Arabidopsis thaliana: one gene and its partner. The protein of the gene in region 2 interacts with the protein of the main gene of each other region in a pairwise test. Each region holds a gene or a part of one and is shown on either strand. Other genes may lie near its edges. The genes, in order: AT4G29930 and AT4G37850.

The links.
Region 1: the proteins of AT4G37850 (region 2) and AT4G29930 interact in a two-hybrid assay, tested with the Arabidopsis thaliana proteins (one study listed by BioGRID).

The regions. Positions count from the first base shown.
Region 1 is NC_003075.7:14,641,849-14,647,894, reverse strand, and holds AT4G29930 (basic helix-loop-helix (bHLH) DNA-binding superfamily protein), read right to left. Parts: upstream 3,902-6,046; 5' UTR 3,788-3,901; coding exon 3,708-3,787; intron 3,586-3,707; coding exon 3,420-3,585; intron 3,036-3,419; coding exon 2,778-3,035; coding exon of another isoform or gene 2,727-2,777; exon of another isoform or gene 2,678-2,726; coding exon 2,390-2,677; 3' UTR 536-2,389; downstream 1-535.
Region 2 is NC_003075.7:17,795,542-17,799,853, forward strand, and holds AT4G37850 (basic helix-loop-helix (bHLH) DNA-binding superfamily protein), read right to left. Parts: upstream 2,361-4,312; 5' UTR 2,320-2,360; intron 2,164-2,319; exon of another isoform or gene 2,126-2,163; 5' UTR 2,107-2,125; coding exon 2,071-2,106; intron 1,964-2,070; coding exon 1,460-1,963; intron 1,362-1,459; coding exon 990-1,361; intron 896-989; coding exon 821-895; 3' UTR 531-820; downstream 1-530.

The DNA of each region.
Region 1 (6,046 bases), 3.2 Mb from region 2:
ATCTGCAATTATCTGAACATAACTCCTTAACAAAGCCTACTGTCACTTTTATGAGTTTACTAAACATTTGTTGCCTAACTTTACAGATCAAATTGAAACAAATGGCAAGTCTCTCTATTTTGCAACTTACAATATGCATTTGATTCATGTTCATCAATTCAAAGACAAAGTATCCACAAAATCTTTTATAAAGTCATATTTGCTTTTTTAGTTTAACCATATTTCTTTATGTTTTTTTCTTCTTATACTCGGTTATGATTGCAATTAATTCAAATGATTTTTTTAGAAGTATAATTTTTAAGATTATAAGAAGGAACATGCATATTTTTGTTTTATTTTATTAGAAAACATCGGATGTTTTGTAGCTCAAACAAATAAACCCTCACAATAGTAGCTCTTCACATATATTGCATAAAACGGATTTAAGTAAAAAACCAGAAGTAAATTAGAAGTTGATAAGACAATTTGGATCATTATAAGCTGCGATGGCCATCTGTATCTTGGCCTCTACTGCACTGCTTTCTTCTTCATCCGCCTGCAAATTCAACGATTTACTATAATTAATACATCTATCACAATATAAACTAAAACAGTCCTATATTATTTCAATCATACGATATCTTTACAGAATTTTGAAGTAAATTAGGATTCTAGGAAGTCCAACGTCAGTATAGATTATTAAAATTAGGGGTGTTTAGGTTTTACACGAATCAGACAAAAAAAACTTCTTTTTTTTTGGCAGCACGTAAAAAGAAAATTAGAACTGATAAATTTGTGTATATACACCTGCACGCATTACTACTATAATTATTTCCCGTGGAAAATGAGATTGGTGGATAAATCATTGTTTAATGTTTTTGTATAATCTTTAAAAGGACGGATAAGGACAGGTTTGAAATGAAATGATCGACTTTTTATTTGATAAATGATTGGAGTATGATTTCACCAACTCTCAATGACTCCACTGGTCTATACCTCACTGTAATTTTAGCGTCTGATTATATTATCTTTTATCAAGAAAATGTTATAAAGGTGCATAATTCTTTTTTGTCAAAGAAAACCAACATAATATTATATTCATTTGTGAGGCAAGAAATACTCGTATTTGTTGTCATCAAAAATTTCCAACCTACAGCTTATAATATAATTACCTTTTTCAAAAAAAATAGAACGTTAGTTCACGAAACTAGCATTTTTGTAATTAGATTGTTTACACCAAAGTCCTAGTATATGATGATGATAAACAAATCAAATAGATAGAGATAATGAAATGAATTTGTATTTTTTAGAGTAAAAACACAAAATAATAACTCTTAACAAATCTGCTTATATTAAAAAGGACCAAACCTTAATTTCTACCATGAACTGCTATGGATATCATTTGGAGTAACTAATTTTTACCAAAATGATTAGCATAATGAAGACCTTATGAACCATATACAACTAGTTAACACAAATAACTTGCTAATTGGCTACAGTTGATTTGTAGCCTATTGTTAATTTGAGTTAAGAATTGATATAAGGTGTAGTGCTAGAAAAGTCACGTGCTAAAAGTGTGAAAGAGACAAACGTTGAACCGCGTGAGGTTATAAATTAGCCACGTTTTTCTAGTGCTACTATGCTTGGACGGCACTTTCTGGGACACGAGGCACTTGAGATTTCACACACTAATTTTTTGATTAAGTTAATCCTAATTTTTTATGGAATATGACATTTAACTTTTGAGAGAATCTAACCCTATCAGAAAAAGTCAAGGCGAAATTCGAAAAAAATGTGATGGGCTCGAGGCAACCTCAATAATTGGAGCTTTAATTGATTGATTAAGATATTACTGACTATATATACTTAAGGTGTAATGTGAATTAAGGTCCACTTAATGGAGACAGGTGGGAGAAAAGTAGTAATTAAATGGGTCCGTCTAAAGGTTATCCTTTTGAATTTGATAGTGATTTTCCAAACAATTCGTAAGTTTGAATTACATTTTTGTACTATTACGTAAAGATAACATATTTTCTTTACCAAAACAAAAGAACAATCCACTTTACTAAAGCACTTAGTCATATGCTTTTTATTCATATTATTAATTCTTGTCCACTAAAGGATTTGTCTACGTGCCGTCAGACGACCATTTTTCTCCCAAAATAACCAAAAAGAAAAGAAAATAGTAAGATTTGAATTTGGTATATAAAAGTCTGAATAGTTGCGACAAATTAAAAATGGACAAATATATTTGGTTGGTGTGTTTTATAGTCCGACAAGTGCATAAAACTAATTTTATAGCTGATTACAATTGATCTAACATTCTTTATTAGCAAGAATCTTCTAAACTATATTATCATCTCTTTCCATTAACATTTTATAATTTCGCTCCATGAGTGCAAAATGAGCGTCAAACCAAAACAAGACACGTACAGTATTCTCTAGATGCATTTAGAATTTTGTAGTTTGTACTAGTAATCACATTGCCAAATAAAGATATGAGAGAGGGAGAGAGGGAGAGAGTGACCTGGAGGAAGAGGGTGGTGGAGAGACGAGAGGTGAAGGAAGAGAAGTTAGTAGTGAGAATGTTGAGATTCAAAGACTCCAACACTTTACAAAGCTGCACCATTGTCTCTCTTTTCTTGCTACATGTTATGCATACCACTACCGTCTTCTCTCCCATCCATGTCACTTTCATCTGTTTTTTCATGTTTATATAAAAACAATTTGGAATAATTAACTTTACCTCAAAAGAAAGGTAATTTAGAATGTACTGCCAAATAATGCATAGTACGTACTTCGAGAACTTCAATGGGGTAGTGTTGTACTCTAGTACTGTAATCCATCTGCTTAAACTTTTTTGATCTCATGTCATTATTGTCTGAGAAATCTTGCAGATGAGTTTCCGCAAAATTGCAATCGTAATCTCTTACCGGATTTTCTAGCAATGTTGACCGTGATTCTAGCTCTCTGATCTCTGCTTCTAGAGTCTTCTCTTGATCAATAAGTTCTTGCATATAGTCGATAGAATCTTTGATGACAGATGCCTTGTCCAACTAAAAATAGATAAATATTAATACTTCAATAAAATCCAGTCTTAATCAACAAATCATCACACGTATACAATTATATGCTATCAGGGTAATTAGGGGACCAAAATACATTTTAGTATGGCTTGATATGGATTTAGAGTATCAAAAATTTGGTTTGCTTATTTGTTTAATGTTGGTTGGATTTGGTTTAACCAGATTGTATTTGTATAGTTTTATTTCTTTACAAAAGAAAGAAGAGAAAGTTTATTCGCTTATTTAATTTCTGTTGACCAAAACAAAAATTGCTGGTGACGAAACTTTATTACTAAATTATTTGGATAACAAATTAAATTTAAAAGAGACAGTTGATTAAACAAATAAGAGAAGTAATGGAATAATTAATCATACCTTGCTTATATTGGGAACAACTGACCGGAGAGCAAAAAGTCTCTGATTAAGCTTTTGCCGTCTGTTTCTCTCGGAGACAACGTTCTTCGAAGAAGCCGGCGACGTTGCCGCTCCGTCTGGCGAACTCGACTCGCCGGAACCCGAAAACGCTTCCTCCATCGGCCAACTTAAATTTTATAATTTATAACAATTTTCATTAATTACCAACTAAAGCAAGATTAATCTTTATCGGAAAAAAAAACTAAAGAAACAAAAAAAAAAAAAATGGACCAAGATTCTAGTAAGCACCTGTCAAATTCGAGTTCTTGATTCTGGAAGAACATTGTGGTTTCCCAGTAATTCTTGTACTCATGGTCGAGATCTTCCATTTTTCGGACACACAAAGATGATGCTTTCTTGAAATGGAAGGTTTTGTTATTTCTGTTTGTCCTTTCTTTCTTTCTTTGTGTCTTTCTATTGAGTGTACTATCAAAACAAGAGTGGGCCGAGGATTTTATACATAAAGAGTCTGACAGAGAGTTTTTAAGCACGTGGGATCTTAATCTCCTGAAATAATTATATACGATCTTGACCGTTCAATTCAGAGATCAAAATCTGTTTCCTTTTGTCCAATTGAAAAACAAAGAAAAGAGTGTATCGTATCTATCTCTTTCACTCACAATATGCATTATTCATATACTCAAATGGGTATAGACCGTATAGTACTTGAATTTAGGGCGTGTTCAATTCCAATTTCATTTTATTTTTGTGAGGTACTAGAAGAGTATCTGAGTATAAATGCAAAATTCTGTTCTTGTAGATATTAATCATTTGTTTTTCTTCTAATTTCGATCCTTAAAGTTAGAAGATGATGTCTAAGTAAGGAAAGAAGATACGTACTAGGTTTTTTTTAAACAAAAATAAAAGATACGTAGTTTCAGAATTCAAAGATTTAAACATAGGTAGACATCGTGGCTATGTGTATGCGTACGTAATGATTATGGCCAATAATGGTGATGATTAGTTGATTGTCAACTTTTTTTGCTAAATTTTATTGAAAATATAACCCACTTGGGTCCAGGATATTCTTTCATGTCCCTTGATTTGAATGCAGTAAATCTATGTTTTCTTCTATTATTTGTGGATATATATTTTCTTCTGATTTTTGAGTGTCTATATATTTATAAAATTCCATCTTCTTTAGATACTGTTATGAAATAAGTTGAGATATATGATTTTAACAAAGTAAGCTATAACCACGGACTTATCTAGCAATATTAAACACAAAATGTGACTGAAAAGCGAAATAATGTGGGGGTGATCCAAAATCTAAAGTATATAAAAATCAAATATCATAGACAGAAAATATTCATAGAATTAGATAATATAGCATATGCAATTTTATTCTACTGAATTGTAACTAAAGAAATATTGATTATTTAATGGTGTCAACTGAATTAAAAGTTGTGAAACGATTCGTAAAACTCTATTTATGATGGTGGAAATATTTTTTTCAATGGTTATGTATCATACATTTGAGTTCTCAGTTCTTTCAAGAATTTGTAAAACGTGGAAAGACATCAAGAAAACTGAAGACGGTCACTAAATCATACAACATACACATACTAAACAATACAACTAGTTCCACATTAATCCATTATACTCAAACTAAATCTAGTATCTATCTTATGAACTAAAAAAAAATCTAGTGTCTATCAATATGGAAAGGTTTTTACTTATATCGGCTTTGCTCCATACCCCGTGATTTTATTCAGAACTTTTAATCTGGATTAGAAATCCGAAAATACTGAGTTTGAGAAACAAATCGAAAAAAGTAAAAACTGTTTTCTCAAATCATTCGTCTCTCACTTACTAAACTCTTGAGAAAATGTGTAGGAAAAAGTTGTATTTTAATTGTATGAAATGAACAGTGTTTCGTTCCTTATGATATTGTTTTCACATTACTAAAGTCGTGGCTTGGATGGCCCAACATGATCTTGGTGATCAAAGATGATTATAATAAAATTATTTGCTAAATAAAATTATTTAACGTACTTATGTATGCTACCACGTGTATGGAGGATAGTGTATGATATGACTTGATATGGTTTTGGTTAAGAATTCATTAAAAGTCTTAATATTTAATTTATTTTGTATGCATAATCGTATTTCCTTTTGTTTATTAGGCTAATTAAAAGCTGTTCTATCTATAATCTTTGGAAGATTCATAAATTTTGATGACTCACCCACCTTGCAATTGCAAATGTATGGAATTGATTATATTGGGTCCAAATGACAACTAAACATTCCCAATATTGTCGGAGTCTAATTCTTTCGTTTCTTATTAAATATGAGGAAGTGTTTCTAGAAGAGTAAGAAGAAAATCGCAGTTCAATTTTGAAATCTACTTTTGTAGTAGAAAGCTGTATAAACAACATCCGTTCACGTTAGCTAGAATACGAAAAAATGTAACGAGTATTGAAACTCCGGTTCAATCTTACGTTACGATATCGGTTAACCAACTTCGACGACTTAAACCCATTCATCAAACAAAATGAACAAAATATGCCGATATGAGAGAAAGTAATTCGACTAAAATTCATTATTTATTTCAAAACATGCAAGAAACTTATTGGGCTGAAAAAACA
Region 2 (4,312 bases):
TCAGACGTTTTGCACCTGGATATAGTGTTTGTATATATGCATATGTACACATATTATCTATTGTTTTGTGAAATGTGAAACCATAATTGTTCATTTTTCGCATTGCGGATATAATATTTTTATTATAGCTGAAAGAAAGAGAAGGATAGTTATCCACTTTCCGAATCCACGATTTGTCCAACTTTGTTAGTATCCTATGATTATCCTTGTTGTTCTCTAACACGGAAGGAAAGACTTGGTCGTCATGCCGCATTCCTTGCCTTGATTATCCAAGTGATAATTTTTTTTTTTATTATGATTTTCTGAATCTAGAATGTCTTGGACTGGGTACTTTGTTGTATTTGACAGTGCTAATTTACCATATGTTACTTTGAATTCAAATTACTCTTACTCATAATGACAGTAATCAATCAAATTCAATATAAATTGCTCTAAATTTTTGTGCACCAATAACTTGCTCTAACTCCTCCCAAAAAATTATTACTACAAACTTTAGTGATTTGGTATAAGATTGAACAGACTTACAAAATATAAACCATATAATACAAATACATAAACGGAAGTGCTTTACATCTTTGGAAACAGCAATATAATACATAAAGGGGGAAAGAACCAAATAGAGAAAAAAAGAGAAGTGAATTTTCAACTAATTTAATCTTATTTATATATAGAATTATAGATAATTAACAGATAAGAAAACCTCCAATCAAACTTATAAAAAAAAAAAAACATTTTCATGGCAAACCACTTATGTTTCGTCCATGTGTTCAACAAGATCTCCCACAGTAGAAATTGACGAGAAGCATGAAAGTTAATACAATCATATGAAATTCGACAAAGCAGACCTTAAGCTCTTTACAACATCCATGAGTGTCATGTCGAAATCACTCTCCTTCTGAAAAATAAACATCAAGCGATGTTACTCTAAAATTAAGAACAAGTTCTTCATTTATATGTATAAGTGTATGCCTGAATATACATTTGCATACCTTAGCTATAATGGTGATATCAAGAGTTGGTCCAAAATTCAATACACTTGAATTAGTTATCAAGATATGAAGTTTCTCAATCTCGGCCATAATCTTGGCAAGATGACCCTTTTGCTTCTCGCAAAGGATCTTGATTAGAACATCTTCATCCGAGAATCTTACCTCGATCTCGGGAAGATCCAAGTCCGAGAAGCCATCTTCACAAGAAGAAGAGAATGATTGATTATTATCGTCCAAGATCAGCTTAGACTTCTTCACAAGAACCATTGATTCCAATCTTCTTTCTTTCTTCTGTTCCTCCAACTCTCCCACTCTTTCTTGGAGATACTTTATATGCTTTAATGCATCTCCCAACACAGAAGCCTTGTCCATCTATGCACGCAATTAGAAAAAAATTACACCTATAGATTCAAAAACATGTATTTTTTTGAAAAAGGTAATCAAGAAGGAAGATCTGATGGTATGTATACCTTTTTAAGGCCAGGAACTAGAGCGGAAAGAGCTACGAATCTTTGAGTAAGCTTCTCTCTACGTTTTCTTTCGGCTATTATGTGATCCTGAGCATTGGATTGGTTTCTTGAAAACGGTTGAGCCCTCTTGGTCCCTTTTCGATTAAACTCATCACTCTTCTGGTGTGGTTGCACTTGAGCCTCTAATTTTGGGCTAAAGATTGAGTTTAGGTAGGTGGGAGAGTACTCGTGTTCCATATCATTTGAACCATAATCTTCGAAAGAGAGAATTCTTGAGGAAGAATGACGGTGAATATGATGGGGCTTTGAATTTGGAGGAAGATGAGAAGAAGGTGATATGTAAGTTGTCTCAAGGATCTTTGGTGGTTTCATTTCGATCAAATCATCATAAGAGGGATCATTGTTGGTCGTGAAAGAGTGTGGAAAAATGTATTGAGCTTCTTGGACCTCTCCCACTATTGAGTTCATGTGAAACTGTTGAATTATGCTATTTTCTTCTATTTCCTAAAATATAACATCACACCCAAAAGAAAAAAGAACAAAAAACAATGAAAAACAGTCCCAGATGACAACATATATACATGAGTGTATGTGTTTATGCGCATATATACCTGCTCAGAAAACCATCTTGTGGATAAGATACTCATTGCTGTTGCCTCTGAAAATCTGAAAATGGTAAAAAGAATATTAGTGTATGATTTATAAACAAGAAACTGTATTTAACCAAGAAAAAAGATAAATTAGCAGATCATCTTGGGTTTCAAATACAAGATTTGACGTATAGTAAAAACCCAAGATCAAGAAACATTTAGTAAGGGTTGAGATTTATGTTTTTTGAATCACAAAGAAATAAAACTCACCAGCTTCTAGGAGAAGAGAGAGAGAGAAGAGAGATTTGTGTGTGAAAACAGTGGAATGCACATGCATATATGTACATGTATATATAGAGATGGACACACATATGAAGTAATTTGCACGTGTGAAAGGCAATACTACTCAACTTTCACACTAAAAATATTCCTTTTTTCTCACAGCATTTGGGTGTCAAAACTAATTAATTATATTATAGATTGTTTTATATTTGTCAAATTTCACAGGTTGTTCAAAGTTACTCATTGACGTATACAGTATTTTGAGGTCCTATTTGAATGAATATAAAAATGTTGCGGGCCGGAGACAAAAAGGGTATTCGTCTATTGAATATATCAGGTTTTTGAGTTTATATTATTAAGTGTATTTTTAGGGTTTCTTCTTAGAAACAAAAAAAATCGCCTCAATTTTTATTTTGTTTTGATATATGTTTACTCATCTTGTTTCCCTTGGTTTTATTTTTAAAAAAATATTAGTTTCTCCATAAATACATTTTTCAAAATGCATCCAAATTTGACATGAATTTATGTATCAGGTGTGGTATGCGAATATGAAACCAATTAAAAATCAAAACTGTTCAAAAAAATATTTTCTAACATCATATAAAAATATTAAACCTTATGACGCGCATCAAAATGTTGTTGGCCAATTGTAAAAACATTTGTATATAGAAAGCTTGTATTCAAATTCTGCTATTATTACTGAGTAATAAACTTATATATATAGTCAAGTAATTTATACTAAAGTGTCCTTCACTCACTATCTGAATATGTATGTTGTTGAAGAACCAATAAAAGGAAAGCATTCATGATTAATTTTCATAAATTTCTTATGATAAGCGAACTTATGATAAGCAAAAATAGACAGAAGATGACAGGAAACTTTCCATAATCAAATTGTGGGTCCAATTGAATATAATCTAATACATATTCCCATTAGTTTTATACTTTTCTCTTGTAAACTAAAAATGTGACACCAACCAAAGATCTCGCTACGATTTTATGGTATATTATATGGTATTGGTTACGACATTAATTATTTCCACGAATTTTCTTTTTTTCAAGAAAATTGTAAATTCAACAATAAAAAAAAGATTAAAGTATGATTTGAATTTAACCATTGGCGTTCTCTTCTAAAAGCTCTCATCTTTTATACACAGTTTGATTAAATGTGTGAATCACCATGACTGTCAAAGACGTTCGATTATGAACAAACAAAATCACAAAAGTTTATATTTTATTCAATCAGAATATTCAAACATTATACTACAAGTGATCGACACTAAGATAATTTTTACTTTCCTGGAACTCATGTGTCTTGTGTCTTGTGCAAACGTGCTACTCTTAATATATAATCGATTAGGTAAAAATAATCAATCAAACATGAAACTCTTTTATGTAAAGTTGATATTTTAAGTCAAGTATTTGTCGGAATTGTTGAACTTCATAGAAATGGTAAGCTAGGTAAACAAAATATACTTGGGATATTATAATCTAAGTACTAAAATAGAAATAAAAGCCAGTTCACTTACAACTAGATCTCTCCCTCTTTTCCTCCATTACTACGCCCCATGACAGAAGCATCTTGGCGCCTGCAAACCAAATTCAGTGTTTTACAAATCTCCATAAAAATTTAATACTAAATCCCTCGAATTTTATATTTTTATATAGTATTTCATTTCTCAAGATCTAAATACTAAATTAACTATAATATTATCATGAGTATATTTTACTCTATAGTATAAAATGTGATAGAGTATATATACAGTACATTGTACACATTTACAAATAGACGATTATTTTGTTTCTATCTTTTTCTTCTTTCTCTTTCACTCTCTCTCTCAAGAGTTTGTTACAGAAGATTGAAGATTCCTGATATGGTATCAAAGCATCTAAATATTTAACAGTTTTCTGGATCTATATCACTATATTACTATATCACATCACCAAGACAGTACATCCCATGAAATATAAGCATCTTGGC